Linked DNA regions of Drosophila melanogaster. The protein of the gene in region 2 purifies or fractionates together with the protein of the main gene of each other region. This does not show direct contact. Each region holds a gene or a part of one and is shown on either strand. Other genes may lie near its edges. The genes, in order: Polr3H and Polr3B.

Evidence for each region.
Region 1: the proteins of Polr3B (region 2) and Polr3H purify together in Drosophila melanogaster (affinity purification with mass spectrometry, with the first as the bait; one large-scale study listed by BioGRID). This does not show direct contact.

The regions. Positions count from the first base shown.
Region 1 is NT_037436.4:11,641,231-11,657,813, reverse strand, and holds Polr3H (RNA polymerase III subunit H), read right to left. Parts: upstream 9,059-16,583; 5' UTR 8,974-9,058; coding exon 8,863-8,973; intron 8,806-8,862; coding exon 8,323-8,805; intron 8,264-8,322; coding exon 8,135-8,263; 3' UTR 7,315-8,134; downstream 1-7,314. Other genes in the region: CG32085 (uncharacterized protein), read left to right, coding at 3,701-3,896, 6,547-6,844; RIOK1 (RIO kinase 1), read left to right, coding at 9,515-9,574, 9,634-10,953, 11,015-11,392; CG6071 (uncharacterized protein), read left to right, coding at 11,781-12,367, 12,436-13,798, 13,868-14,556, 14,622-14,871; CG32091 (uncharacterized protein), read right to left, coding at 15,321-15,662, 15,725-15,981, 16,041-16,553.
Region 2 is NT_033778.4:12,031,150-12,047,732, forward strand, and holds Polr3B (RNA polymerase III subunit B), read left to right. Parts: upstream 1-7,891; 5' UTR 7,892-7,969; coding exon 7,970-8,852; intron 8,853-8,903; coding exon 8,904-11,434; 3' UTR 11,435-11,474; downstream 11,475-16,583. Other genes in the region: pds5 (precocious dissociation of sisters 5), read left to right, coding at 1-643, 709-845, 907-986, 1,048-1,313, 1,386-1,676, 1,740-1,832; CG8321 (uncharacterized protein), read left to right, coding at 2,986-3,283, 4,339-4,561, 4,627-4,729; CG43191 (uncharacterized protein), read right to left, coding at 5,080-5,234, 5,290-5,418, 5,528-5,938, 6,004-6,016; 128up (upstream of RpIII128), read left to right, coding at 6,274-6,315, 6,448-6,568, 6,622-7,462, 7,528-7,630; Drep1 (DNA fragmentation factor-related protein 1), read left to right, coding at 13,715-13,759. UniProt on the Drosophila melanogaster protein: DNA-dependent RNA polymerase catalyzes the transcription of DNA into RNA using the four ribonucleoside triphosphates as substrates. Second largest core component of RNA polymerase III which synthesizes small RNAs, such as 5S rRNA and tRNAs.

The DNA.
Region 1 (16,583 bases), on a different chromosome or scaffold from region 2:
CTATTGACACTTGTCTCTGTCTCAACGAGTGCGTGTGCCTGGCATAATATAAACCCACGATTTGGGGCACTATTTTTGATGCGTTGTCTTGTCAAGCGCGAATTTCCATTTCCATATCAAACAGACAGGTGGATTTTCCCTGCTTCCGTCACCTCTGCAAGCTCGTGATCCGCAGGAAATTCCCAGAAAACGAACCCAATTTATTCATAGAACGAATGAATCATTTCCAACTTTGGCGGCTGATAATTTGGTTTTTCCTGTCTACCACGAAGTCAGGAAGCACCACATTGAATTTGTGCTACTGCCCCGAATAGAAACTTAATAATTTAAAGAAAACAAGAAACGAAATATAATGGCATGATTATATGTTAAAAGTCCCAACGTCACTAGCTTACAATCACTGAACATTCATTTCTGACGACCTATTCTATAATCAGCATTTCTCTCTTGAACTCGCCAGGGTAATATTATCAAGATTAACTTATATTTACTAGCATGGCATTCAAATGCCTTATCAATAAACTGAACACAGTAAATAATGCTTTATATAGGAAAATAAAAATTATTTAAAAAAAATATATACATTATACAACATACCTTAAAAGTTTACTTTGTATTTAATATTTATCGTAAATTGACAGCACACTTTCTTAGCTTTATTTCCTTAATACTCTTTCACAATTTTTTGAATCTTTGTCTCGATAAATGCATCTTAGAATGCAAACTTATAGTTCACAAGCACACAAAACATATTATTTTCTATCTATTTTTACTGGTTCCACAATTTCGTTGAGTTTTGCTGCAATTTCATAATTTGTGATCGCAAAAACGAGTAATCCTGGCGGCCAAACAATTACCCGTTAGTGTCGGTCACAAAACGAAACTGCAACACAGGATTCGTCACCAAAACTACCAATATTAAAATTAAAATGCACTTAAAGGTGTTTCAAAAACTAGTTTCGGATTGGGATTAGATGTGCGGATCAGGAATCACGAGACGGATGCACATCGATGGGGCGCTGATAACGAAATGAATTTCAGCGATGATTGCAGGCGCGATAAATAAGCAGCGATTCCGCTGGAAGATCTGGGCGATCTGAGGGGCTTCTAACGTTAATGCCCATGCTCTGAACTCGCTCCGAGTGTAATTCAATCGATGTCACTCTGGCTGCGATCACTATCGATCCTCTTCTGCCCCTCGCACCAACGGGGACCATCCCCAATCCCACACAGCATTGCGGTCTGCCAGTGTCGCCGGCGGCTCTTAATCACAGTTTCTATCAAGAGGCAGCCGACTTAGTGCATCGCAACTGTAACTACGTCTGTGCTGGTTATAAATATACATTTGTACAGTGGAAACCCATTAAATCTCACTGTTTGTAACAGTAAAACTGGGAATCTTCTAGCTTAGTCATTATCTTAAAAACAATCCCGTAAGTTATTGTAGATTTTCCCAGTTTAATGAATGAATTTTGCTTTACAAAATGGTTTATTAGTCCTTGGTTCGCTCTACCGAGGCTGCACTGTCCCCACTAGATGTTTGTTTGCACAGAGGCGCCTTTGTCGTTGCATGTTTTTGCGGTTTTTAGCTTTTGGGGCGTCGCCGTTGCCTTCGCCATTGCGGATTGTACTGCATCCGCCGCTTGATAGATACAATTACAGTTAGCTCCTTGAGGAGCTGCGTCGCCTGGCAACTTGGCCAAGTTGGTCGTCAGCGTTACGGTTATTGTCACTGCTGTGGCTTCCCTCCCACCAGCAGCAACACCGCCTCCTCAATTACGACTGAATATGCATGAGCAACGGATTTTCCAATTCTCCTCCTAAAAGATCCTCTTGAAGAGGGAATTCCAAGAATGTTGCAACTTAATGTATAGTGCACATATAAATGTATAAATATTACTAACTAATACAATTTAAGAACCCTTTATGTACTGTAAAACATCTCCAAAACAAGCTTTGAATTCAGTTTTTCAACAGCATTAAGCATCATAGCCTATTAATCTCCACTCATTCGTTTTTCCGTCGTGGCTTCAGTTCTTTTGAAACTTCACAAAACTCCCCCAAAAACTCTTTATATACAGCGCATAAAAGCCTCGTTTCAACATAGTTAAGTCAATAGAGCAGCTGAACAGAGCGAGTTGTTTGTGTTAATTTTTCATAGGCCTCCTCCATTCAGATGGCTGTTTGCATTAGTTTTCCATTTGGCCCAGAAGCTAGTATCGCGTTTATCTTCGTGTGGATTCGCTAGTTGGCGCATATTTTGTAATTCAAAGCTATTCGCGTATGCCATGTGGTTTTTTTGGTCAGAAGCCAGACAAGAGGAGCGCTCCTCCGCTGCTCCTAGCAAGTATCCAAGTTTCTGAGTAGCTGTCGGTAACCAAAGTGGGCCAACTACACCCACTCACACTTTTGCATACTCGTACATAGTGACTCTAACTGAATACAAAGCGGCTTAGTCGAGCGGACCCTGCATTTTTCGACTTCTTCTTTTAACTTTAGGCAAGGGATGAAGTGTTTGGGGAGCAAGGGTATGGGAGTTTCCCGCAAAAACACACACACACACTCATTATGCTGCCTGGAAGTTTGTTGTCTTTGGGCGCTTTATCTTTGTTTACGCAGCCGCCGCACGTGCCCCAAACTCGTTCACCTCACATATTTGGCCAAGGAATATGGCTAATTCCCATTAGCAAAGTTTAAGCGGCTTACAGACGGTAATTGCAGTTCTACAGTCTCACCTTATGGTTCACACGTTATCCTTTATCGATTATCCATGCTCAGCAGGCGCAGTTAACCCTTTGACTTTCTGGCCACATAAGAAAATACTGTTAAATAATATTCTTTAAATTTACCCAAAATATGCTCTTTAGTTCTCGCGCTTTAAGCGAAGCCCTCAAAACCTTGTTAGTAGTGCCTTTATCCACAGAAACGACAAATAATCCCAGATTCGCAAAGGAAAAGCAAGCTGCACAAACAAGCCAGAAAATGACACGGCAAAATGTGGAACAGGGTAAACCGAAGTCGACATAAATGGAACGAGCTGAGGAACTGCCTCAGTTTAAATAAGTAGAACAGCCGCTGAGGCTGTGCGCTTTAAATAGCCGTGGTAATTAGATGCATGACACATTAGTCTATCTCAAGATTGCATGCAGCTTAGCAACAAATCTGGAGCAAGTCAGATTTAGGTAAATTGGATTTTGCCGAGTAACCACAAAGCCTAGTTACCACTCAAATGGTATTATAAGTTATAAGCTTACGTTCTGCTGAATTGTTTAAGCCATCTTAAATAAAGTAGGAAGGAAACTATTTCTCATAATATCTTTTCTATCAAGCAAGTCAAAGAAATGAAAAGTTACTTTTGAAATATAAGTGCTCAGCTGTTTTTTTAATAGACTCGATTTATTACTATATATTTATGACTGACCATATATATGTATCTTCATTTCGACCCAACACTGCGTATACTTAACGGGGTATTAAAAAGAAACTTATGTGAAACTTAAATTTCGATTTAAACGGGGCGGGGCCAACTGAACGCTTCAGTAAGGCAACATACTTATATTCGAACTCCAGAGGACTCATTTCCTGGGACGTGCTCACTGCAAAGTGGAGCATCTGCAGGCGGCTACGTGAGCCGAAGGAGTCCCAGCTGATACCCCAAAACTAATGCCAAACTCTGCCCGTTTTTCTCCTCCAATTACAGTGCACTCCCTGCCGCATCTCACGGTGCTAAGCCTCTCCGGCTGCAGCAAACTGACGGATGATGGAGTGGAGCTGATTGCCGAGAACCTGCAGAAGCTGCGCGCCCTGGACCTGTCCTGGTGTCCCCGCATCACGGACGCCTCGCTCGAGTATATCGCCTGTGATCTGAACCAGCTGGAGGAGCTGACGCTGGATAGGTGAGTACCAGTCCACCGGATCAGTGCACAAGGTCGCGTCTCCTCATTGCCCCTCACCACCCGGCTGCGTAATTATTCATGAGTAAAATTCAATTTCCGTCGCCGAGTAGCTCAACCTCATCTCCGGGGGCAACCATTAGTCCTCGAAAACTGCAGCGAGTTGCAGACAGAAAAAAATCATTAAACTTTCCCGTTTAAATTATGAACAACCATAAACAAAGCCGCTCAAAAAAGCAGAACAATTTTAAAACCAGAAACAATTTGGTTGATCTCAAATACATTACTCTTAAACATATTTAGTTTTTTATTTATACAAATATTATTATTCAATTTAATTCGTTTGCCAAGTCGTACATATAAAATACTTATTACTACTTTCATTTATAATTTAATTGAAAATTGTTACTTTACTTTTCGAAACATTTTTGAAGTTAATGACAGTTATGAATATGAGTTCACAGTTTGCTCTATCCAATTCGTATATCTCATAACATTTGTATAAACTAGAACATTTGAAGTGGAATAACTTAGAATACCAAACAGAGCAACACATTTCTTTGCCGAATACATTAGAATTTTACCCAACACTTCGCCTCTGAAATAATTTGTATTAGTAATTCCGAAAGAATCTGCGATACAAACTTGATTCTGTTCGATTTCGCCATGTAGTTGCTTCGCACATTCTTCGGGACTAATTAGCTCAACGTTATGCTCAGTAATGAGGATGCGATTTTCACTTTGTTCTGGTACAAATCTGGAGAAAGGCGGAGTAGATTCTGCCTCCATCTGATGCCTTAGCATTTGAAGCATACAGATTGGCTTGATACCTTCTGGAAAATAGTTACCTAAGGTGACTGGCTGCTTAAGTTTAAGCAGTGCTATATCATGTTTATCAAATCCTGAGTAGTTGCCATATCTAATGATCGCATCGACAGCAAGAATATTGCTAATAGTTGTAGTCAACGGTAGAACATTTCTGTATAAGAAGGTAAAGCTTTGGCTACTTGTTTTATTAATCAAGTTAATGTTACTTACACTATTTCTGGCAAGCCTCTGGCAATTGTAATAACAAAATCTAGAAGGAATGAGGGCAATTAATTTAATTGATTTTGTTTTTAGTAATCACTTTAGTATCACTTTCAGTGATAAAAACCCCATTCGCCTTAAAATTGTTTCCAAAAACAAGGCCCATTTGTAGCGATGTTATGGTATCGCCACCACAATCCTTATACAACCATATGTCCGGGTTACTAACACTTGCAGCTCTTGAGTTTCCGGTTAAAATTTCTTCTTCTTGTATTGCATTCGGAACTGATTCCTCCAAATTCAATCTATCCACATAGGCCGCAATCCAGTCCACATGGGATGTAATGTCGGTAAAGACAACTGGTCCTTTGCGGTTTGGGTTTTTATAACTTACTATCCCGATCTGAACTTCGCGTTTGATAGTTCCAGCAATGATGACGCTTTTGGTCAACGGATTTCCAGAATAGAGACCACTGGTTTCTCCATTTAAGGCACCAGCACATATTTGATTCAAACTGGGATTAATATTACACTCGTTTTGATTTAGCCTATGAAAGATAAGCTCGTGCAGATTTTCGCTTTCCAAGCCCCGACTTTTTGGAGCCCAGGCAAAGGCCTTGAAGGTTCGAATCGACTGTACGGAACTCATGATTCTCTTATCCGTAATTATGCATATTGAGTGAATGTCGGCTATAAATGAGTGGTTTTACGACTATCACAATTCCGTTTAATTGCCAACTTACCCGAAAAAACTACGCTGTACGACAGTTTAAGCAATCCAATATCATTTTGGATGGGCGATTTAGAGGCGAATCGGTGTACAACTGCTGTGGAAACCGGAATTCTAGAGTCCATAGTATCAGCATCTGGAATATTGTAAGCCCCCAACTCCACAAATCTAAAATAAATAAAAATAATAGTATAATATTGATATTTAGTAAAGATAATGATGCTTTTCGAAAACAGATATTCCTCCAAAAATATGTCAGTATCTACATAATTTGAGGATACTTACAGATTGACCTGTTGATCAATACACCGAGCAGCGGTTAGAACAATGCCTAATCAAAGATTTGTATTATCAAATGTGAGAATCTTTTATTGTTTCATTATGTATTTAAATACGAACGTTTGTGAATCAGCGTGCCACCGCACAGGAAATGCGAGGCATTACTGATGGCTGTCATCCAAGCAGCTGCCTGTAGTCCTGCCCTGTTCAGCTCCTTGGAATTTCCACAGGATTCATCCAAAAGCTTGGCTGAAACCTGGTGGCCAAGGAGCAGAGTGAACAAGGGAATCCAAGCTAAAGATGACTGCATGCTACGCGTGGCACGAAACGAATGAAACATAAAATGCAAGACCGGTTCTCACATATGAATTTCTTATCAACTGTTTCATATTCGGACTTCTTAGATTTTTTATTTACCAATTTTTTTTTTTTAATTTTAAAAAGTATTTATTTAATTCTTAAAAGTATGAATGTGTACATATATACATTATAAATAAATTTTTTTATTTGAGATTTGCCTATTGATATAAACAGTTTGTGTATGGTCTTAAACTGCGAGTTTCCGCATTTTACATCGAGTTATTTATATAATAGATTTATCTAATATCCTTTCAGGTGTGTGCACATAACGGACATTGGCGTGGGATACATCTCCACAATGCTATCGCTGACCGCCCTCTTCCTGCGCTGGTGCTCCCAGGTGCGCGACTTCGGGCTGCAGCACCTCTGCTCCATGCGGAACCTCCAGGTGCTTTCCCTCGCCGGCTGTCCGCTGCTTACCTCGTCGGGTCTGTCCAGCCTGATCCAGCTGAGGCATCTGCAGGAGCTGGAACTGACCAACTGCCCGGGTGCGTCGCACGAGCTGTTTGACTACCTGAAGGAGCACCTGCCTCGCTGCCTGATCATCGAATAATCGATGGATGGAGATGATCGGATACGGAACCCCTGAGCACTGATTTTCGATTCGGTTCGGTTTGGGTTCGGGTTCGGTGCGATGCGGCGAACCATTTGAGTATGCTAATTTGGTACACCTAACCTCCAGTCGGCAAGTTCCTCGCGTGCTATGTGACTTTAACTTTCCGTCAACACTGTACTCTATCCCTTATAGTTTTAGACTTATTTTGATTTCTGCTGTGATTTGATACGGAACTTAGTTAAGTTGATCTGTTTAAGACGATGATGTACCACAAAAGACCCGAAGATGATATTTATTTACATGCAATACAATATGTCTAATATACATATACATGAATATATATTTATATTTATAAATATACATTATTTATATTATTGTAGTTTTTAACAAACGTTTTATTTACTACTCTCGCTGTATTTAAACATGCAGACTACGTGTAAAATACTACTGAAAAAAAAAGAAAACCAGAAAAAAACCAAACTCAAAAAAATGAAAACAAAACATTGCGCCCAAAAGACGAACAAACAACAAATAGAAATTACAAAACATACCAAGTGAATCAAAATATGCAATTAATTACATTAGTTCAAAGAAGCAACACAACAACAAAGGATGAATATTTGAAAATATTTACGAGTTTAGCGAAAACGTGCAAAAGTTGCCATCAGCTTTAGATTGAAATTGCAATTGAAATTTACAAAAATCCTCGACTTTTGCATACCCTGACCAGTGAAACCTAACTTCGATTGTACCATATGACTAATCTGTAATTAACTTACTGCTACTGAAAGTATTTTAAGGTGACATAATGAGCACGCTACCAATGAGGTCAATATTTAACATAATGTTTAGCAAATTGTTGTCAAATTGCAAAATGCAATTGCGAACCATAAACAATCGACTTCTGGCCGTCAAAAGATACTCTATATATCTAGCTTACGTTATAGAGCCGCTCTCCTCATTAAACTAAAGCCCTCACTAAAACTTAATGTAAATGCTTTGTTTTTAACTCCAGTGTGAGAGTTTCATCCAGAACATTAAGCAAACTGCTATTGATGGAAACTGCAGTCTTAAACCAAGAAGAACACAACTCTACAAGTACATGATAAAATAAATAAATGGTAAAATGAATTTAATTGTGTTTTTATGGTATGGTATGGTCTGAAAATCATAAACACGCTGTGATCTAATCAGACTTAAATCAAACTTTATGGTCATGACTTCATCTTAAATCGAATTCTTAACCCTAATGTAAGTGGCATCTATACAAAGGAGTAGGCGTCAGGATCATTCTTCGCATGCGCCTTCGCCATCTTCGTCATCGTACTCCTCGTCCTCCTCGTCGTCCTGCTCATCGTCCTTTCCCTGCTGATCCCACCAGGAGAGCACGCCTAGGCCGGATTCGTTAATGGCACCCTGAAGGATAGAAGCACTCGTTAAATACAGATTTTTATCAGGGGCGGCAAAAAACTAACAATAATCCTGTACGGTGTCTTCACTTCTTGGGAGGTAGCTGATGCGACTGCAGCGGATGTGCTAGCTCCCTGCTGAGTCTGAGCCTCAGTTTTCGGTGGTCCAATGGGCGATGTTTCCTCGAAGATCTCCCGTGATACGCGGAACTTAATGGGCTCGCCAACGTCCATGAAGAGATCGTGTTTGGCGCCATCCTCGAGCGGATATTCCCAAACCCAGGCCTGTTCGGCCTCATCGAAGCGCGAAGGATGCTGCAGGGCGGCATGCGGAATGAGGATGTCGTCGAAGAAACCAAGTGTCACATGGACTCCTTCGCGGCTGCAGTTTCGAATCTTTCCGGTAATCACGGTGCCCACCATCGGCCGGAAGACCACGTACCGGAACAGAACCTCCGTGTGCGAGGCTCCGTCTCCCGGCAGGATGATGGAATCCTTCAGTGAAACAATATCCTTCAGCGCAATGCATAATCCCACGTTAAGAAGGACCTGTCACGTAGAAAATCGAGAATCAGGACGTGCACATGGAAGTCACAACTTACACACCTTATTGGCCAGCTTTCGGTCGATCTCGTCGCGCACGGCGTCCACCAACTTCAGATGGAACTGGTCCGGCGCAATCCTCACATTGTCCTTCAGCTCCGCCAGCACGAACATGTCGCCAAATTGTTTAAATATCTTCTTTTAAACTAATGCTCGTTCATTGTTTTGAATGTGAGCTACAGTACCATGTGTAGCCATAGTGTGACCACATGCTCATGCAGTATATACCAAAAATACCAATTATATGAATTTATATTGCTAAGTTAGGGTACTCCCGAACTAACCATTCGGTCAGCTGTTAAGCTAGCTGATTGCCAAAGCCAACAATTGAATTTCTTTAAATTTTATTTCAGTTGCAACAAATTAAGATACAAATAATAGTTTTCGCACGATATTAAGCCCGTTTGGCAAGACAAAATCGCTTTAATATTTATCCGCACATTTGCTTACTGCATATAGCCATCTTAGGAAAATACCAAAACAATGTCGACGCTTCTTTGTGAATGGCATTCGCAACACGTGCGATTGGTTGTACAAATTTGTGAAATTTTGAGCTTTAATAGGTTTGTGTAAATCTAGCACCGATTTAAAAGCCTTTGCCTTATAAATACAACGAGGAATTTAATACTTATTAGTAGTTACTGCGCATCTCGCGATGAACAACGACAGCCACAAATATAGCGACGCCGAGGAGGACGAAGAAGACCTGCGAAGTGTAAGCAAAGTGCTTATGAATTTACAATGAAATCTTTCTTACACTTTCCAATTTTTTAGTCCGAGTGGACAAACGACTTCAAGAACCTCACATTGAAGCACGAGATCTTTAAGGATATTAAACTGACACCCAAAGAGGACTGTGATGACCTGGCACAAGTTATAGCAACCGCCAACGAAGAGGATGAACCGGAGGACGAAGAGCCAGAGGAATACGATGAAGACGATTACGACGATATCGGAGATGACTATGATACGTATGAGGAGGCCTATACGGGCTTTAACAAGCTTCACGTTCAGCCGCAGCTAACAAATGCCAGTGGAGGTGGCTCCGGCGGTGGCGCTGGAGGTGCATCTGGTGGCTCACAACGCGTCAGCAGCTACCAACCAAACGAAAAGCTGTTGCGCCGCTACTCCGCCCGCATTAATGTAGAAAAGTACGATCCCACCACAAATATGAGCGCGCAGGCGGCCAACCGGCTGGTGAACTTCGATCGGCGCGATAGGACACAGGTGCGTGACAAACACGACCGAGCCACTGCGGAACAGGTAATGGATCCACGTACCCGGATGATACTCTTCAAGCTGCTGAATCGCGGAATGATACAGGAAATCAACGGCTGCATTTCTACGGGCAAAGAGGCTAATGTCTATCACGCCGTTTCCAAAAATGGTGAAGAGGAGTTTGCCATCAAGATCTACAAGACGTCCATTCTAGTATTTAAGGACCGCGACAAATATGTGTCAGGCGAATTCCGGTTTCGACACGGCTACTGCAAGCACAATCCGCGCAAAATGGTGCGTACCTGGGCGGAGAAGGAAATGCGAAACTACTTGCGAATGCGCAACGCTGGCGTTCCTGTACCGGAGCCAATCCTGCTACGCTCACATGTACTGGTCATGCGGTTTTGCGGTCGCGACGGATGGCCTGCGCCAAAGCTTAAGGATGTTGAGCTCAGCACTTCAAAGGCGCGAGAGTTGTACAGGGATTGCGTAGTCATCATGTGGCGCATTTACAATCAATGCCGTCTTGTGCACGCTGATCTTTCAGAGTTTAACATCCTGCTGCAGGATGGTCAGCTGGTCATTATCGATGTAAGCCAGTCAGTGGAGCACGATCATCCGCATTCCTTTGACTTCCTGCGCAAGGATTGCACCAACATATCCGAGTTCTTCCGAAAACGTGCAGTGGCAACGATGACGGTGAAGGAACTTTTTGATTTCATCACCGATCAGACTATAACCACAGAGAACATGGAGGAGTGCCTGGAACGCATATCTGAGCGAATCAAGGACCGCGATTTCGATGCCATCTCGGCTCAGGAGAAGATCGATGAGGCTGTTTGGCAGAACACCTACATTCCCAAAAGGTTGGACGAGGTATGTTTGCGCCGTGATTTAAAAATCAATGTCACATTACAAATTCGTATTCCGCTTCTAGGTGCGCCATTTTGAGAGAGATGTAGCCAAGGCCAAGCAAGGGGTGCAGCAAAATCTCATCTACGGAAAGATCACTGGTCTGACTTCGGATCTGGACGTGCAGCAAAAGCCAGACGTGCTGCAATCCTCGACCGCCAAAGAGGATGACGGTAGTGAGGCCCAAACGAGCGGCAGTGAGGACGAAGACAACTCGCAGGATAACGACAACGATGAAGATGCCAAGAAGTTTAAGAATTCGGCAAGACCACGAGAAGAGTCTCCGGAGAGTAAAAAGGCTCGCAAAAAGGCCGTCAAAGATGCGAAAGCCGAGCAGCGCAAGGTTAAAGTGAAAAAGCACGTGAAGAAACGCAAAGAGAAAATGGGCAGCATGAAAAAATAGGATTGTTTCTGAATAGAGTTAATATAGCTGTGAGTTTAAGTTCTAAATATTTTATGCAAGTTTTGTAACTTGGCTCCATCGTATATAATGAAATTATATAAAAACGATGTAGCTAATCATTTTCTTATGGTATTACTATACCAAATGGCTGCGGGGAACGCCGCAGCTATAAATGAAATATTAAACACACTACGTTACTAGTATTCTAATCGAATTTTCGGTTAATATTAAGTAATATATCTAAAGGAATAAGTGTACCTTTAGTTGCTCCACTTTATTTGTTTTTAAATAACCACCGCATCCATAGAAAGGCGTGAAATCGTAAATTAGGTGAAGTTCCTAGTTGCAGTTGCTACGAATCGCTTAGTTTCGTCGCAGTCTTTCAGCAATGTTGCTTAAAATACTTGTATTGTTTTGCACATTATTATCGGCAAAATTGGCAGAATCCTTTGTGAAACCACTGCGCTATAATTTGACAATTCTTACGCGCCTGGGGAGTGAAGATGAGCAGAACCAGTTTGAGGGCATCGTGTCCATCGATATTGAAGCGACACAACCAACTCGCGTCATCTATTTAAATTCTCTCAACATAACAATATCTAGACAAAGAACATGGATATACCGATGGGCTAGCGGCAGAAAAATCGGTGCTCTCCAGATAAAGAGAATTATTAAAAAGACCAGCTTAATTAAGATAGTAATCGAACTCCCACTCAGAAGTGGCGAGATATACACACTCAACATGTTATTCTCGGGTAACCTAGATCGGAGTCAGCAATATGGCTACTTTGCCGGCTACTACGACAAAACGCCGAGGGTTTTCTACTCCGCGACTCGCTTGGAACCGGACTATGCTCACACCGTGTTTCCCTGCTTCGATGACCCACGCTTTCGGACCCCATATAACATAACATTAGTGCACGACCGGAAATACGTTGCACTCAGCAATATGCCACCCGTAGAGGAGAAACCATAGTTAGTAAATCCTTTAGAGAACCCATATTTATAATACTAAAGTTATGTATGTGTTTCTATACTTGCAGCAAGGAGATCGAAAACTATGTGTCGACGACATTTATGGGTTCACCACCGCTAGCCACACAGCAGGTCATGTGGACTCTTCATCAATTAGAGAAAGTTTACAGTGGTCCTGCGGCTGCGGGTGAGAATATCACCGTCTGGTCACGGCCGCACTTGGCAGAGAAACTGGCGAAGGTGCCGGAAATGACGCCCAATTTGTTTAGTAAATACGAAACCTTGTTCGCATATCCATTGCCAAAAGGAGCAGATTGGGGTGGTAAGGTCGATCATGTAGTGTTGCCTAGATATACAGAAATGTATAGCGGTCAGGGCATAATGGTGTACGGCGAGGATATCGTGGACTCAGGACAAAACGGTCTTGAAAGCCTGCAGGAAACGCTTGCGGAGCTGGTAGCGCGGCAATGGAACGGATTGCTGGTGAACCTCGAAGATTCGGATGAAGAATATGTGCGGAACGGCATTAACTACTATCTGAGCGTCCAGGTGATGGCCATGGACAAAGAGGCGTATAACACGACTCACCTTTCAAAAACGCGTCTAGATGTTTTGTATCATGATTCCTTGGCCAAAGTAAAATCGATCGCTACCGATGTGAAGGAATCCGGACACCAGAAACTCCGCAAAAAGAAAATGTGTCTGCTCATCCACATGCTAAAGGTGGCCCTCGGTGATAAGTTGTTCTTGAAGGGACTGCAAGAGTTCTTTAAGCGATACGCCAACTCATCTGCTTCATCCAAGGAACTGTGGGAGGAGTTCCAGCGAGGGGCACGCCGAAGTCACCAACTGCCCACCGGTGTGAGTTTACCCACTGTGATGGAGTCATGGATGAAGCAACCAGGTTTCCCGCTACTCACCGTCCAGCGCGACGATGCGAAGCAAATTGTGACCATAACGCAGAGTCGCTATTATCAGAAATATTTGGACAACAGTTCCAATGACTGCTGGTGGGTCCCGGTCGCTTACATCGTCAGGAATCTTACGTTGCCTCAGGTGGAGTGGCTCGGCTGTCAGAAAAATAGTAGAGATATATTGGAACTCAGCCACATCGCTAATCCGGAGGATTGGCTATTAATAAATGTGGATGCTGCAGTTCCTCTTCGCGTCTTCTACGATTCATACAACTTGCAGCTGATCAGTGAGGCTCTGCGTCAGGATTTCACCCAGATTCCGGAGCTTAGTCGCATCCAGTTGGTCGATGATGCCCTCAGTCTATCGTGGTCAGGTCGGTTGCCGTATAACGTCACCTTAAACGTGATCTCATATCTTTCGAATGAGACCAGCGTTTTGGTTTGGGAAACAGCGCTTTTGAATTTGGAGAAGCTACAGAGTATCATGCGAATGACTACGGGCTTTCGTATCTTTAAGGTGGGAGCTACCAAATTAAACTTAATTTTGAATCTATATCTATCTAATATGAACCTAACTTTTTCTTAGCTTTACATGCAGAAACTTATTGAGCCAGCTTTTAAAACAACATTAAATTCCCTCTCAACAAAAGCCAGAACTGGTTCGGAAATACCGATCAATACGAAATCGCCGGTCACCACGGAGTCCTCGGGCACCACAGAATCCCCGGACACCACGGAATCCCCGGACACCGCGGAATCCCCGGACACCACGGAATCCTCGAACACCACAGAATCCCCGGACACCACGGAATCCTCGGACACCACAGAATCCCCGGACACCACCAAATCGGATTTGTCGTTGTCGGCGATTTTATACCGGCTGGCGTGTCAGTTCGAAATCAAGGAATGCCTAACGGACGCACAGCAGCGATTTCAGGCGGCGATGGACCAGAAATCTAGCTCATCCATTCCGGAGGAGATTCGGGAAATCGTGCTCTGCAGGGGCATTCGTAACGGCTTGGAGGTTCATTGGATAATGGTGCGGGATATGTTCTTTGAGTCCGAGAATGATAAGGAGAGGAGTATCCTTCTAAATTCTCTCAGCTGCACCACGGAGTATTGGGCGATGCAGAAGTTGCTCAGCTGGGCGCTTGACTCAAAAAAGGTTCCAAGAACGATGACAGCCAGTCTTCTGAGCGCCGTTTTGAGATCCCCATTGGGCTACTATGTGGGCAAACAGTTTCTCATTGACCATTCTAAGGAAATTCTGCGAAGGTAAGTATTTAAAATCTTTTAAGATAACTTTAAAAAACTGAAAATGAATATTCAAACTACTCCAGCAAGGACGTTAAATTGATTTTGACCCCGTTTATCAATGCGATGTCTACAAAAGCTGAATTTTCGGCGCTGAACGATCATTTGCATAGGAACCTTCCATCCTCAATGGTTTCTGGCTTATCATCCACGTTGGAGTCTGGTTTAGATAGAGTGAATTGGCGAAATAACTTGTACTTTGATCTGCTTAAAGCCATTCGAGATTTTACTCTGGATGATGGTCCCAAAAACAGTTCTGATTCGGACTCCAATTAACTAATTGTTAAATCAATAAAAATAGTAGTTACACAAGGTTGAATCGTCAAAACATGGGTTTTATTCTTGTACAATTCGAATTGATATTACTTTAACCACAAAAAATGTAAAAAATGTGCAGCCGTCTCCTTGCAAACAACTTGGGGATTGTCGTATCATTTAGATTTTAACCGAAATGTTATCAATATACATTTCGCTAATCTCAAGATTTCTTCGCAACGTTTGCATTATATCCGTGCAAATAATTTGGCTTTTAAAAGGCATTTGTGTATGTGAACTATATCCTAACTTAAGCTATCTTATGTTTATGTTAACCTTTGTTCTTTTTCATGGGAATGGTGCATAAGTATGTACAGGAAGTATCTATCTGTCTGTTTAAAATCGAACATCACAGCATTGACATTGCCTAAAGCTAGGGATAAGATTCATCTGGAATATTGGTTTCAAAATCAGGCATAGCATCGCTTTCGCAGGCTGATGTACATCATCACTCGGAAGAACAGCATCAGCATGGCCAGCAATCCGAACTGATGGAGCATCGACACCTTTTCCACATCCAAAAATTTGAGCAGCACGCGAGGATCGCTAAAATGACAGTATATCGCATCGCAGTCGAGTTCTTCCCGCTGAAATCCGAAGACGGCTAAAACCAACGAAACCACGCCCACACGCACATAGCTGAATTTCATCAGCAGTTGCATTCCGCCGGATACCTGCGGCGCAAAGTCAAATCCGTAGACGGCCAAACCCATCAGAGGAGCTATTAGCATCGGACCCACCACACTGCCATTCTGCAATGAGAATGAAGAGTTTTAGCCCAAAAGTATACCTCGTATGCGGATAGGAAACTCACCGTAATGCTGAAGGTGGCTCCAATTGCCAGGCCCATTCCCTCGGCCACCAATGAGATCATCAAACCCACAGCCACAAAAATGCAGAAGCGCCAGAACTGCTGCGGCAATCCGGACATCCAGTACGTGACAGCCATGAAGGTGATGTTGAGTAGCACTTGAACTGGCAGTCGCGAAACTGTGAGGGCCATGTAGTACGGGGTGAGGGTATACCAACGATTAAAGGTCTCCTTCTTGACCAGTTTCACCTCAGCGGGATCTGCAGGATAATCTTCAGATTCAGTATTCGAGTAGGAAATAAAAAACCAAAACACTTACAGCTCAAAATGGGCACCATCACCTGGGTGTACACGATCATGAGGACGGCGCCGATGCAGAATTTCAGATGATCGAACATCCGGGCACCTTGGTTGCCCAGTTGGAAGAATATCAGGCCAAAGAACAGACCGCACAGCAGGTGATGGAACAATTGGATGGTCAGTGCCAAACGAGCACGCGTTATTCTCAGTAGCATTATTCGCATAAGAACGATAAACTGACGAAACCCACATACATCCCGCCGATCCGTATGGAGTCTCTTCGAGAAGGCCTTCACTTGCTCCAACAGAGCACTGGTGCCTCCAATTAGCGTTCCATCCGTGGAGGCGGCGCTGCCAGCGAAAAAGGCGGGCAAGAATGGACGCTTCTGTTGCTCCAGAAACATTGTGGTGACCGCCTGCTGAGGTGCCAATTGCTCAGACTGACTGACCACATAGATCAGCTTCCCGTTTTCGGTTAGGTCGCTGAGTGCTGGCACCAGGTGTCCATCCTCGGCATCCACCAGCTCAATAACTGTAACAAAAAAAGTAATCCCAATAATTA
Region 2 (16,583 bases):
TATTGGAACCCCCAAGCAAGCAAAGCACGCGGTGCGATGTATTTTCGTAAACAGCCAGTCGTCGGCTTCCACTGATGGAGCAACAAGTGGAGCTGGAAGTGCGTCCACAACTACACAAACAGTGCATCCTATTTTCAACGAGATCATCGAGACGCTTCGCCTAAAACTGACACCAAACTGTGAGCATCAGCGCACAAAGATTGTGACCTTGGGTCACATTGCCTACAATATGCCACAGGCCTTCCTAACGCCCATTAAGAATATGATTGCGCGACGAATTGTCAAAGAGCTGCTTATCCAAGAAGTTCCTGCGCAGCGAGACTACGAACTGCCAGAGGACAGTGATTGGTGTGCCCAAGAGAAACTACCGCCGGACACTCTATGTAAGCTGGATGCGCTCAAGGCTATGGCCAGGTGGCTTTTGGGATTGCGTACCGATGAGCACGCTGCCCAGAAAACATTCCGAATGCTGGCGGCGTTTGTTAACCAACGAGGCGATTTGCTCGGCCAGAACCGTCTTTGCGGTGCCGAGAAATCTTGGCTGCGCCTCGGGGCAGCCTGCGCCATGCTCAAAGTGTGCGAACAAAAGGGCGTAGGTGATCAGTACAGCGCTGAGCAGTATTTGCAGCTTTCCCAGCTGATGGTGAGTAGAGACATTCATCTTGTGCTTAGAACTTAGTCTCAATGTCTATCTCGGTGTTCCCGTAGGCTGATCCGGTGCCAGAAGTTCGGGAAATCTTTGCTCGCAAGCTGCACAAAGGATTAAGCAGAAGTTTGCCCAGGAACTGTTTGCCGCTGGACTTCATGGGCTTGTATGTGCTGGCTGGTCTAGAGACTGAGAGGAAGTGAGTAGTTCAAGAAACCATCCGATCCGTTCGGAGAAGTATTGATAAATATTTTCAACAGATTGCAAGACCTTGTGCGTCACTATGCAGAAACGGATGTAAACAAACGGCGGGAATATCTCAAGACTGTGGCTATGACATGTAGGTGTTTTACTTTTGGAATCATATTGTGTATTTTAACCATTAAATCAAATTATTCCAGCTCCCGACAGCTCAACGGAGTCACAATCATTACACATACTACCTGACTACATGCTGGCTTTCGCTATTCCCGTGCTGGTCCACGATCCACGCTTCACGAATCACGAGGACTACGTACAGCTGCGCAAGATGGAGAAGTGCCTGCGTTTCATTCTGGAGCCGCTGATGGCCAAACGAGAAACGTTTGTCCATAGCTTCTACAAGCAGCTGCTGCAGCTGATAAAGCATCGCGAGTTCAGTCTGGGGTCGGACAAGCGCGACAACTATGTATGTCACTCAATCATTTTCCCAGGCTTTCCCTTCTAAATTATATTTATACATATATTTTTCGGTTATCAGAAAATGTGGGCGCTCTGCGATCTTGCCATGTACATTATCGACTCCAAGTTCAGTCCATTTGATGGCAACACGAGCACCTTTTCCATGCCGCTGGCTTTGCCAGAAATGTATTATAAAGAGCCTGCCGTTGCGAATTTCCAAAACAATGACGTCTATATACCGCTGGACGTGTATACGCTGGGAGCCAAATCCACGAGCAAAGCTGCCGCAACAGCAATGACAACGTCGCGAGCAGCAGTGGCTCCAAAGAGACCGGCGGAACAGTCAATCATGGATGATGAAAATCCGCAGGTGAGTGAGGTCCTTGGAAAATACTGAGAATGAATCTAACTAGTGTGTGAAATTTGATTTCAGGAGAACAATCTGTTCGACAACATACGAGCGGCTGACACTACGGAGCCCATGGCCAAACGAACGCGCGCAGGAGCCGCTTCAGCCAAATCATAGGGGCTGGGATGGCGCAGATTGGAGGTGGAGAGAGCGCATACTTGTTAGTTTAGTTATGTTTAGTCTAGGCGCCTAAGTTAACTAAATATTTAAGACGTAGGAAAGACCACGATAGTTGTTAAACCGACACTACCTTTATCCACACCATGCAACTCACAACTAAGCACCCAGAATTCGGATTGTTCAGTTTCGCATTCAGTATGTACTATATCAATTTTGTGAGATACACCAAAAACACAAACATCAAAAAAAGAAAAACGAAAAAAGTGTCGAAAAATCTGTTAACCGCAACTCTGTAAAAGTAATTATTTATCATTTAAAATGTTTTATCCTGTTCTTTTATAGTGTTTGATTTATTGATTGATTTTACCATTATTCTTAGACTATTGTATATCGAATAAAAAAAGGAAAGTATATCGCGCATAAGTTAAAGTACGAAGTAAAGTAATGAAAACGTAAACAGAGCCTTATTAAGTAATTAAAATTAACTTTTCTATGATCGCAGTTAATTTTTAGTTAATGTAACATCATCATAATACATACAATTGTCTCGTTAAATTCAACAAGTATGCATTCAAAATGCATTCAAAAAGAAAACCTAAAAGCGTAAGAATTGGAAAGAAAACTACAAAGATAAAAATAAAATGAATACACACATTAAACTATAAAACATGTACATTAAACAATTATTATGGTTTTTAAATTACAAATAAACGTATGATTATTATTTAAATGTTAAAATGGATATCGAAAATGGGCTTTTAGTTTAAATTATTAAAATGTTGTACTTTTTTAATATAAAGTAAGTTTAAAAAATGGCTAAAATATAATTTTTGTTTCTAACTTTTTTCTTTTCAATTTCAAAGTCGCTCTTAGGAGGGCTAAAACTAATTTGAATATTGATAACAAATGAACTATCGATAAGAGGCCGTCGATAGTTCACGGTGCAACATCAACTCTCCCATCACTAGTTCCAATTGCATTTTCTGCGTTGTTTTTTTTCGGGGGTGTGACGTTTTTCTTGTTGTTTTTGTGCTATTGTGAAATAAACCAAACAATTGTCGAGTTAAATAGACACTGATTGTTGTTTTGCCGCGCAGTTCGAACAACGAAAACTAATTCCAAACAAAGCTTACGCCGGCAAAACCACGAAATGCAGGTGGAACCAGCCGAAGTCGGCTGTGACGTCACGCATCGCCAGCAGGAGAAAAACAAAACCAATGGGATTTTCTCAACGGCAGTCAGAAGTAAAAAAAACGGGCAACCGAACGGACGGATCTACACCTCCACGCCGAAGACCTCGCATCCGAAACTTGAGCACTACGTAGGTGTTGCTAAACCCTCGGAAAAGGGGCGAGTGGGAGTGGTGACCGCCCTCGATCCGCTGATCAAAAAGGTGGCCCTTCTCTTTGGGACTCTTATCATTGGCTACAAAAGCGTCATCTTAACGAGTAAGTGTGCCAAGCTGGGGGCTAAACGTAAATATATTGTGGGTTTATTGGATTTCCATTTGTTTATTTCTGTATATCCCCGGTGTGGCGGGGGTGGGAATTCAAGGTTGCAATTGTCGGTTGCGTCGTCTTTACTCGCACTTTGTTTATATTCTCGCGTTTATAAATAGTTGAAGTTCGTGTGATCTCATAGCGGTGGTGTTTGTTCCCCCTGCATAAGCCGCCGAATAGCGAAAAAACGTCTATATAAGGAAGGCAAATTGTTTGATGCGCATTAGCCGTCTCATTTGCATACAAACGTACTGAAGACCTTAGAAAAATCGTCAAAGAGTGATTAGTTGCTTCATCTTTGAGGCAAAATGCCATTAGTTAGTTAATTGTTTGCCCAGCGGCTATTAGTTATTCATCTACGCTTAGCTTAACGGTATTTAGCACTGGGCTTTCGTCACGCGACACATACATGTATATTCTAATGTATGTAATATAAACATTAGAAGGTACCGCTAGAAGGCCCAGGAAAATAACGAATTTTACATTTCTGACGATATAGCAATCTTTATTTGCTGCAGGTTTTGCATTAGGGTGGCTCCAAAAAAAGTGCGACAAAAAATTTAATAAAGTTTAACAAAGCTCAAAGAAAAAACACATGTTTAATCAACTATTTGTTAAATAATTCAAACATATAAATTTGATATAAGCAGAAAACAAATTTTATACATTGTCGAGAAAAGAAATAATTAAACCAATACAAACGAATATTTATTTCCAATCTTTCCCATCGGTCCAAATCTATAAAAAGCGCAACCTTGCTATTTATGGTGTAACGAATGGGGTTTCTGTACATTTTTGCAAATTTCTTTGCCCACTAATTCTTTCCATTTAGCCAAATTGCTTTGATTCCCTCATAGCGTACATATCTGACTAATAAATTTGAACCACCCTAGTTATAAACCCAACATTTTGACGTGTTTATCACGCTAGGACTGATAACAGTGAAATCAATAGAACGACACTCAAAATGAGATACTAACGAGCTTTGGGCGTTCTCTTTGCAGTGCCATACATCACGGGCGATTCCATCCAGGTGCTGAGCCACCAGGTGCAGAGTAGGTGGAACGAGACCTTGGTGTGGGCCACCAGGCACCAGCTGGGCTCCAGGCTGAGTCCCCTGCTGTGTGGCCTTCTAGTGGCAGCTTTCGCGTACGGAATCGTGTACTTGGACAGCGCGGTGCCCGGCGTAAATCCCCCCTCGCCCTTTACGCCGCGTTCCAAGAAACGGTAAGCTCTGGGGAAATCACCTTTAATTATTCATTATAACATGGAGTCTTTACTTCAATTTGCAGTTTCCGCGAGGAGAAGACTGCCTCGATGCACTTGGGCTACTTGTGCGCCCTGTTCTGCGGATTTCTGGTCACGGTCTTCATGTACTTCGACTTGTACTCGTAGAACTGAATACCCATTTCCTTCCAATTAGTTCAATAAGTTCACCAGTATTAGACTTTATACGCCCACTTCGGAATTTGTATTTGTTGTAGTCCTTGAAACTGTGCAATGCTCCTGGAGAGAATCGTCAGGGGGCATTTTGAAGCTAACTTATTTCCTAGGTATATTAATTATAAGTTACTAACTCTATAAATTATTCATGATTTGTAAACTACAAAAGTACAAAATGAAACATTTCACTGTTGATTGGAGGCCAGGATCGAAAAGCTTAGGCTAGCATATTTATACCTTGTGAAAAGTACACTATCGCCTGGCCTAAAAATCTCAAGAAAACTGTATCCTTAAAAAATAAATTACTTTTGCATAGTGTTTTGCAATAAAATATACGAGGTAACATTTTCAATGCGCAGAAATTGCTGTTGCCAGTCAATGTCGCTTACCTGGTCAATCTTAAATGTTTTCAAGCGATTTTCGCCAATAAACTGGCCCACGAGATGGACAAAGCAGCCTTTTAATGAATAAAACTTTGGTTATGTAATGGTTATCAGTTTCCTGCATTTTACCTGGGCTCCAAGTACTCATAACGCCTTCGAAATCGTAGTAAATTCCCTGAAGGACGGGCCCCGATTCTTTGTTTCGCACGAGCAAGGTGTGTTCTCCACGTTTTCCCACAATGATCCGTAGCAATTTTCCTGAAAAACGATAATTAATGATTTAACTTGCCAAATTTAGCGATATTAATCATTCTGTTTAAAATGTATATAGTAATTTGATTTTGAATGTATTTCAGTTCAGACCCACCGTAAACATTCCAAATAGCATTAATTTCCGGATACATTTTTTGAGTTTTAAGGCAGAAATCCACGCGACCAATTAAACTAATTAAGTTTCGTCCTGGCTTCAACATCGGGGAGCTTGGCAACTCCGCTGATTCCTTTTTGGCTGACATTTCGCAACTGGATTTTTCCAGAATAATCGGTGATGGAACGTTCTCCTTTTTGGGCTGAACTTTCACAGCTTCCTCCACGAATCCATCGTATATTAGCTTATTATCCTTACGACAGACAGTTAGTTTTGTTTGCCGCAATTGGGTGCTATTTTTGCGCAAAAGTTCAGCGGCCGTTGGAAAACTGCGATTCAATTGCGAGACGTTGTTGGTCAGTTGGCTCTTAAATTGAGCTTGGTTGTTACCCAGAGGGGTGCGCGGTTTAACTGAAACAATGTTAATTTTTTGTTAATTTATAAATAGTTCTCAGTATTTAATTGCGGAACTTAACCTTTAGCAAACATTCTTGCAGCCATCAAATTGTAACGGCTATATTCCAATCAGCCTGACCATTTTAATTTTGTCTAAGAATACTTTTACGATTCGTTAAGTGTTGGCTAACGTTGGGAATCGACCACATTACTGAACAAATCGATTGTATCGAATACATATCGATTGCACCTCCAACTGTCCACGCGAGAGTTTTATATATTTTATTTTTACATGCATATTTGTTGATAACTGGGGTTTTCTGTGAACCGCGTTTAACTCTCAGCCAGCCATGAGCACAATATTGGAGAAAATCTCGGCCATCGAGTCGGAGGTGAGTGGAACTTGGAGTACCTGCCGATCTTACAGAAACTAACCTGTCTCGCATCCATTTACCCCGCGGATTCCCCCCTGGATTCTATCTAAATCACCGGGTTGTTGGACCACCTTCTCAACTGAATCCTAGATGGCCCGAACCCAAAAGAACAAGGCCACCTCGGCCCATTTGGGTCTACTGAAGGCGAAGCTGGCTAAGCTGCGACGCGAACTGATTTCCCCCAAAGGAGGCGGCGGCGGAACCGGCGAAGGTAGGCTCTTGGATATATAATTCAGGCAATCACTAAACATTATGTATTTCCAGCTGGCTTCGAGGTGGCCAAGACTGGAGATGCCCGGGTGGGATTCGTAGGGTTTCCTTCTGTGGGTAAATCCACACTGCTCTCCAACTTGGCTGGCGTTTACTCCGAGGTGGCGGCATACGAATTCACAACGTTGACCACTGTGCCGGGATGCATTAAGTACAAGGGCGCTAAGATCCAGCTGCTGGACTTGCCCGGTATCATTGAGGGCGCTAAGGATGGCAAGGGTCGAGGTCGTCAGGTGATTGCTGTCGCTCGCACCTGTAACCTCATTTTCATGGTGCTGGATTGCCTGAAACCGCTTGGCCACAAGAAACTCCTCGAGCATGAATTGGAGGGCTTCGGCATCCGGCTTAACAAGAAACCACCAAATATCTACTACAAGCGGAAGGACAAGGGTGGCATCAATCTGAACAGCATGGTTCCGCAGTCCGAGTTGGACACGGATCTGGTGAAGACCATTCTATCCGAGTACAAGATCCACAATGCGGACATCACCCTGAGATACGACGCCACTAGTGACGACCTCATTGACGTTATCGAGGGCAACCGCATCTACATACCCTGCATATATCTGCTGAACAAGATCGATCAGATCTCCATCGAGGAGCTGGACGTCATCTACAAGATCCCGCATTGCGTGCCCATCTCGGCCCATCACCACTGGAACTTTGACGATCTGCTGGAGCTGATGTGGGAATACCTGCGACTGCAGCGCATCTACACCAAGCCCAAGGGCCAGCTGCCCGATTACAACTCGCCCGTGGTACTCCACAACGAGCGCACCAGCATTGAGGATTTCTGCAACAAGCTGCATCGCTCCATTGCCAAGGAATTTAAATAGTGAGTGCGCTTCACTTTCCCTCTGTTCCCTTGGTTATAATAACATTTATGTATTTCCTTCGTAGTGCGCTGGTTTGGGGCTCATCTGTGAAGCATCAGCCACAGAAGGTGGGCATCGAACACGTTCTCAACGACGAGGATGTGGTCCAGATTGTGAAGAAGGTTTAGACTCTGTGCAACGATAACACTTTGATTACTTGATGGCATTTTTTATTCGAAAATAAAAAACGAATGTGCTTTATGTGTGCGTGGATTTAAGGCGGCTTAAGTTTAAGAAAACCCTCTAATTTTTATTTTATCAAATTTTTTAATTGGCGCGCACAGAGGTAATTTAAATAAATTAAAGCTAGATTTAGCGGGAATTAATTTCACTGCCAGCTCTATGGGAATAACTTTGCTATCACTTGCCCAAGTATATCGATAACCGATAGGTAAAGAAACCGCATATCGAAGAACCTCATAGCACGCTGTTTTGTTGACAAACTTAAATTAAATTATTATAACGAAATGGTGGAGCTAAAGATGGGCGATCACAACGTGGAGGCCACCACCTGGGATCCCGGCGACAGCAAGGACTGGTCGGTGCCCATTAAGCCGCTAACGGAGAAGTGGAAATTGGTGCCGGCATTCTTGCAAGTAAAAGGATTAGTGAAGCAGCACATTGATTCCTTCAATCACTTCATCAACGTGGACATAAAAAAGATTGTGAAGGCTAACGAGCTGGTTACCAGTGGAGCTGATCCTTTGTTTTACCTAAAGTACTTGGATGTGCGGGTGGGCAAGCCGGACATCGACGATGGCTTCAACATCACCAAAGCGACCACACCGCACGAATGCCGTCTGAGGGACACCACGTACTCCGCCCCCATCACCGTGGACATCGAGTACACGAGGGGAACCCAGCGGATCAAGCGGAATAATTTGCTCATCGGAAGGATGCCCCTCATGCTGCGCTGCTCCAATTGCGCCCTTACCGGCAAGTCGGAGTTCGAGCTGTCCAAACTGAATGAGTGTCCACTAGATCCTGGCGGCTACTTTGTGGTGCGAGGTCAGGAGAAGGTTATCCTCATTCAGGAGCAGCTGTCATGGAACAAGATGCTCACCGAGGACTTCAACGGTGTGGTGCAATGCCAGGTTACCTCCTCCACACACGAAAAGAAGTCACGTACTTTGGTGTTGAGCAAGCATGGAAAGTACTACCTCAAGCACAACTCGATGACGGACGACATACCCATTGTGGTGATCTTTAAAGCTCTGGGCGTAGTTTCCGATCAGGAAATTCAATCGCTAATTGGCATTGACAGCAAATCGCAGAATAGATTCGGTGCCTCTCTAATAGACGCCTACAACCTGAAGGTCTTCACACAGCAAAGGGCTTTGGAGTACATGGGTAGGTTTGTTTACCCTAGTTAAATTTTGTTCTTAAAATACCTTTTTTTAGGCTCCAAGTTGGTGGTCAAGCGTTTTCAGAGTGCCACCACAAAAACGCCATCGGAAGAGGCCCGTGAGCTGCTGTTAACTACCATTTTGGCGCATGTGCCTGTGGACAACTTTAACTTGCAAATGAAGGCCATCTATGTATCCATGATGGTGCGTCGTGTTATGGCCGCCGAGCTGGACAAAACGCTCTTTGACGACCGCGATTACTACGGCAACAAGCGACTGGAGCTGGCAGGTTCTTTGCTCTCCATGATGTTCGAGGATCTGTTCAAGCGCATGAACTGGGAGCTTAAGACCATTGCGGACAAAAATATACCCAAGGTGAAGGCGGCGCAGTTCGATGTGGTCAAGCACATGAGGGCGGCACAAATCACAGCGGGACTGGAGTCTGCTATCAGTTCCGGCAACTGGACGATCAAGAGATTTAAGATGGAAAGAGCTGGCGTAACGCAGGTTCTGTCCCGTTTGAGTTATATCTCAGCGTTGGGAATGATGACGCGTGTGAACTCGCAGTTTGAGAAGACGCGTAAGGTGTCGGGACCCAGATCTCTGCAGCCCAGTCAATGGGGTATGCTGTGTCCCTCGGACACTCCAGAAGGTGAGGCCTGTGGTCTGGTCAAAAATCTGGCTCTGATGACGCACATCACCACCGAAGTTGAGGAGCGACCCGTTATGATAGTGGCTTTCAATGCTGGCGTGGAAGACATACGAGAAGTGAGCGGTAACCCCATCAATAACCCGAATGTATTCCTCGTCTTCATCAATGGTAATGTTCTGGGTCTCACCTTGAACCACAAGCACCTGGTGCGGAACCTTCGTTACATGCGCAGAAAGGGTCGGATGGGCAGCTACGTGTCTGTGCACACATCATACACCCAGCGATGCATCTACATCCACACGGATGGCGGTCGTCTGTGCCGCCCCTATGTAATTGTGGAGAACCGTCGCCCGCTGGTGAAGCAGCATCACCTGGACGAGCTGAATCGAGGGATTCGTAAGTTCGACGACTTTCTCTTGGACGGACTAATCGAGTATTTAGATGTGAACGAGGAGAACGATTCGTTTATCGCCTGGAACGAGGATCAAATAGAGGACCGGACTACACACTTGGAAATCGAACCCTTCACTTTGCTGGGAGTTTGTGCTGGATTGGTGCCCTATCCTCATCACAATCAGAGTCCCAGGAACACCTATCAGTGTGCTATGGGTAAGCAGGCGATGGGAATGATTGGCTATAACCAGAAGAACAGGATTGACTCGCTGATGTATAATCTGGTGTATCCCCATGCTCCTATGGTGAAATCCAAGACTATCGAGCTTACCAACTTTGACAAATTGCCTGCTGGTCAGAATGCCACTGTGGCAGTTATGAGTTACTCTGGCTACGACATCGAAGATGCGCTGATCTTAAACAAGGCGTCGATAGATCGGGGATATGGACGCTGTCTGGTGTACAAAAACTCAAAGTGCACTGTGAAACGGTATGCGAATCAAACCTTCGACAGAATCATGGGTCCCATGAAAGATGCGCTGACGAACAAGGTTATCTTCAAGCACGACGTTCTGGACACTGACGGAATTGTGGCTCCAGGCGAGCAGGTTCAAAACAAACAGATCATGATTAACAAGGAAATGCCCGCGGTAACATCGATGAATCCGCTGCAGGGTCAGTCTGCACAGGTTCCCTACACCGCAGTACCCATTAGCTATAAGGGTCCCGAGCCCAGTTACATCGAACGCGTTATGGTTTCCGCCAATGCCGAGGAAGACTTTCTCATCAAGATCCTGCTGCGCCAGACACGTATCCCCGAGATCGGGGACAAGTTCAGCTCTCGGCACGGACAAAAAGGCGTGACTGGGTTGATTGTTGAACAGGAGGATATGCCCTTTAATGACTTCGGCATCTGCCCGGATATGATAATGAACCCACACGGATTCCCCTCCCGTATGACAGTGGGTAAAACGTTAGAGCTGCTCGGCGGGAAGGCTGGTCTCCTGGAGGGCAAGTTCCACTATGGAACTGCGTTCGGGGGCTCCAAGGTGGAAGACATTCAGGCGGAACTGGAGCGCCATGGTTTCAACTACGTGGGCAAGGACTTTTTCTACTCCGGCATCACAGGAACACCACTGGAGGCCTACATCTACTCGGGACCCGTGTACTACCAAAAACTGAAGCATATGGTGCAGGATAAGATGCATGCCCGTGCCCGGGGACCCAAGGCGGTGCTCACCCGTCAGCCGACGCAGGGCAGGAGTCGTGAGGGTGGCCTTCGTCTGGGCGAAATGGAACGGGATTGTCTCATTTCTTACGGAGCTAGTATGCTGATCATGGAGCGTCTGATGATCTCATCGGATGCCTTTGAGGTGGATGTTTGCCGGACTTGCGGCAGGATGGCCTACTGCTCCTGGTGTCATTTCTGCCAGTCGTCGGCCAATGTCTCTAAGATATCCATGCCGTATGCATGCAAACTGCTCTTCCAGGAGTTGACCAGCATGAATGTGGTGCCGAAAATGATTTTGGAAAACTATTAACGATGCAATGGCCTGAAACCGAATAAAATAATTGTTATATAATAATAATGGTTAATGATGGAAACTAGCTTAGGTTTTCCAATATTTTTGTAAAAACGAATGGTGTGTGAACTCTGGCAAGGGCAAAAATCCTACGCATTCATTAAGTTTCCATGACCGCGAGCTGCAAATGTCAAAATGAAGAGGTTCAAACGAAGTCAGCGAAAGAAAGTCCTCTTGAATTTTAACGAGGTCCTTTTGCATATCAGCTTTCTGTTCGTTAACAGGCAGACGCAAGCTGTTACTGAAAAGGACTGAGCCGTGTTAAATCGCTTATGTTATCCTTTTTTTTTATTGCGCAAAGGATAATTAGTTGTGTCTGCCCTTTTGGCCGAATTTAAAACGTCTGTGTCTGGACAAAAGATTAAGTTGTTAAGATGAAATGTTTTTTGTTATTCTGTTTCTTTGTTTGCTCTTTGTCCTTATAATCCTCTATCTTATGTGTATTTTGTTTTTTGGCTCAGTTAAACTAAACATTCTCGAGCGGCTTGATGCTTCTTAGTAAAACCAATATCGCCAGGCGTTGATTTATTGTTTTCCCTCGATATTGCCTATTGCCTGATTGCCCGTGAGGCAATTACCTGTCACCTGGCTTCGAGGTGGAGCTCAACCCAGATTCCGGCCGATGTGTCAACGTGTCCGTGGTCAATGCACCGCGGTGCATGCACGTGACCTGCGAACTGCAGGCGACACAGCCACCCACACAAGCCAATGTCCTTGTGCGTCCTTTCGAGTGACCTGCGCTTAAAATAGTCACAGCTACCACCCACTGCTGCTTCTCCTCCGCAGGACACGTAGAAGTTACTATGTGCAGTGCAATGACAGCAAACGGGGCAAACTGCCAGCAGCAGAAGCAGCATCAGCATCCGAGGAACCAATGGTGCGCACTAGGATGACAATTTAAGGCTGCCCCATCTCTGATCTCCCCCATACTTGCATGCCCACCTCTTTTCCGGGCTATTCAGTACCGTTTTATACGTGGAAAAACTTTTGAGAATTATATAAAGTTAGTTGATATTCGTATGACTAAAAGAAAACTACTCATTCCTATTTATACCTACATACCTTTATCCTTTATGGAATCCATTTGCTCAATTAGGCGCTGATAAGTATGCAATAAGTTATAGTTTTTATTAGTTTTTAGTATCATAACAGAATCTTTATTTTTCGCCGTGCACAAACTGATGAGAACCCAATCTGGGGCCACCTTCCGGCTTTGGCTTTCCTTTCATGTATTTTGGCCATTTGTCAAAAGTTTGCTTTTTGCTCTTCTTATCTGGACGGTTCGTTGATGTGTGCATGGCAATAGATGTATATAGATTTAAATGGGTGTTGGCCACTTGTGTAGAAAGTTAAGCGTAGTCCAACTGCTCTTTTGGCCGGGTTCCAAGCGGGCGAGGGGATTTCGAATTGACAACACCGGATATCATTGGGCTGATAATGCGCAACCCCTCCCAATGGACTAATTGAATCCGAAAGCACCTTCCGATGGAAATAGAGATTAGATTGCTGGAATCACCTTAACTTTTCAGCCAGGATTGTTCCAGCAAACTCTTTGTGTTTTCTAGGGACTAGGCCACAGCCAAATGTTAACATATTCAGCGAGAGAGAACGTGTTTTTGACTATGTTTGTTTTCTCTTTGTAAGCTTTATGTTTCAATATATTTAAAATTCTAATCTGTTTAGTGTTTTCTTTTAGAAGCACATTATTACCTATTTTACAAAAAATTGATACAATATTAATTAATTAAATAACCAAAATCTACAGGGAATAATTTATAAAAAAAAAAATATAAAAAAAAAAAGTGTTAGGCTTCAAAAATATGTTTACTTATCATGATTAAAAAGAAACATGGCCAATAGGACATAAAACAAATATTATTTGAACCTATCAGTTAACATTCATTTAAAAGCGAGCACTCGCAGTTCGAACTCAACATCTGTTAGAAGCCCTTTCTCTGCGTATAAAAGGCAGTGCTTTTGAGCAAAACGCGCTCATTTCAAAACCGGTGCTCATCGCAACGAAAGCTCCGCTGCGGAGCCGAGAAAATATTGTTAATTCCCATTTGAAGTGCAGCTTGTGGAAGGAAATTCCAAGTTTGTTTGTTCGGACGCCGAGTGCAAGTGCAAGAAGCAAGCGAAAAGTAATCAAATCTATAGAAAAGTCATTTAATGTGGAGCAATTAAGCCTGGAAATAAAGTGCATAGTGAATAAGTAATTTAGTTGGAGCAAACAAAGCCATGGAGACTGCAGCGAACTCGGGCGACTCCAAAAAGCCTTTCAAAGTGAGTTCCCCCTGTAATTGTAAATGGAAATAAAGGCCGCAGACGAACAATTGCATTTTAAGTGCATGCATTATTTTCCTGGCATGTCCATTTTTGGGCGTTGTTGTTTTCGCCTTTGTTGTTGTTGGCCGCGTGCTGCGTTCGCTACTTTTTTTCCTTTTTTTTTGGATTCTTATGGAAACTGGGTTGAACTTCAGAACTCAAGAGAGCCAAAAGCTCAAGCTAAGAGAGTGCCGAAAGCTCAGTAATAAGCATTAACTGCCTGAAATTTGACTTTGCAAATTCAAAAACACTATTTAGTTGCTTTCTTTCTCTTTGTCCTTTTTTTTACATGTTTGTCTAGCTTTGCATTTGCCTTTTGATTCGAGTATTGGGAATTGTTTGCCTTTAGCATTTGTTTTACTTGACTGCTGGGCCATTGTTTCCTGTTTAATTTGTTTATCTGCCGCTTAAACAGCAGAAAGCTGTTTAAAGTATTATGGGGATGTAAAAAACGTGCTTAAGGTTGCAGAAAACCACTGGAAGTACATGCAGCTGACAACTCAAAGGAAACCAATAAACCACAAAGCTATTTAAATTGTCTGTGAAACACAGAAAACAACTTTCGTAAAACATGACTGGAGATAACATCCAGGAATTCCCTCCCCCACTTTATCCATTAAAATGCCGCTCCTTATTAAAATATTTAATTCAAAAACCACCAAACGCAAATCGGCTTAAAAGCTGTCAAATACCATGACAGCCATGAAAATGCCATTAAAAAGGGAAAACTTTTCATCCCGACATGTCGCTGTAATTAGCCAACAGCCACGCCCACGACCCGCCTCAGGCATTTTGTTAATAATTTATTAAACAATCTACATAATGCCGCGGCATAGTTCAAAAGCAATTTAAAGTTGTCGCCTAATTTCCCCAGCGACTCGAAAATCTGCGGCCTACGCCCATCAAATATTAAAATGTCCTGCGACTTGTGGATTCTGCCCGCATCTTGGATGCAGATGATAGAGTTCCTGGCACGTCTCCTTCGGCTGCTCCTAAAACGGAGCCAGACGCCGGAGGTCGTTGCACGTTCATCTACGTACGTATGTGTGGACCAGGACCCTCGGGTCCTGATGGCTGAGCAGCTCGAGTTAGTTGAGATTTATAAGCCCTCAACTCGCTGCTGCTCTACCAATTTGCCCAAGTCGTTTTGCATACACTTTTGTGTATAAACTGGTCTTCTAGAAAAACACTTAACTGATTTCATCTAGACTTTCACATACATTAGCCTGAACTTGTAGTGATGCTAGTTTGGAAATTTGTATCTTAAACAGTAGCAAGTAGGTAACATTTGTGTTTGCTCATTTCAATATTTAAATATTATTCTTATATTTAAATATTAAAAAATAAAGTTTTACTTACCACGATGTGCCAAAAATTTGCTCTTAATGATATAACCTAATAGCATTTCCATTCAAGAAACAACTTGAAACACTTTTGAAACATGTTTACTTTCCGAATAAATCTTGTTTCTGATTTGTATAAGCTTTGTATAATTTTGCGGGTAATTAGATAAACTGCTAATTGAATTGCGACCGCTTGAAAAATCGACGCCACTTGAAAAATCAACTAATGCGATCGACTAAAACTTTTGACAAGTTTCCGAACAAAAACTATGCTTTTGTTTTCGATGCTGCCGCGACTCCCACTTGTCAAATGCGCCAGTAGTTGGGCAAAGTTTTCATTGTTACAAAGTTCTAGCCCCACACGCCGCATTCATGATATGATTAATATTTGGAGCTTTCGCGGCACAAAAGTTATGTGGCTTTAAGTATTTATAAGATAATTTAGGGACGACCTCCTCCGCTATCTGAGCAAATGGAATTGGGATGATAGAGCAGCTAGGCGCACGAGTAAAATGAAATGTTCGAAATGCAAACTCGAGTACAATTTCATTTAGTCACGGTGCTCTCAAATATTCATGAAGGACCTCAAGGAGTTGCACGCTGTCCGACGTTTCGGGGCTATAAATTCTGGGTGGAATGCATTCGTGCCGCTTGCTCCCTTAAAGTTGCGCCTCCTTGAGCCTCCATCTGGACGGGTCTAATTTATGTTTCGTTTAACCTTAGTGCTGAGGCATCATTTAACATCGCATGCAAGTTTAATAGAGCCAAAGGCTTGCGTCCTTCGTCCTTGCAACCGGCGAACAGCACTAACCTATGGCATTCGCGAAGGAGCATGCAGCATGAAGAATGCTGACATGCATAACTTGTCAAATAAAAAGAAAATTTAAAAGGATACGCCAGGGAATCGGGGAGTGGGAGATAAACGACAAATATTTGCACCGCAGCTGCTAGAGTGCATGTCAAACTGCGTTCGAGATCTCGAGCAAAAGTAGAGGAGCTCATGGAACTCGGCATTCGCAACTGAAATATGCACAAAGTCGTCGGGCTGTGGGAGGCACTTTAAGGTGGTGACATCCCCCACCGGGAAAAAGCCGTCCATAAATCTCAATTAGAGCAAATGGACATTTGACAGCAGGACATGACGTGGTCGCAAATATTGCGTTCATTTATTCATTGCGATTTTTCGGGGAATGGAAAACAATCAGCGTCGAAATGTGGTTGTGTATTTATTATTTAGCAACTTGCGCTACTATTTATCTTTTCTCTTTGTTTAATGGAATTTTCAAAGATTGCCTAATTAAATAACTATAAAAACAGGGTAAAGTTTGCGTTGAAAAGAGAAACAGACTGAATAATTAAGTGCAAGCGGGAGGATAATGAATAAATCAGGCGGAAAGTTTCCATAGTTTCTCCATTCCGTTCACGTTGTTGTCTCAAGA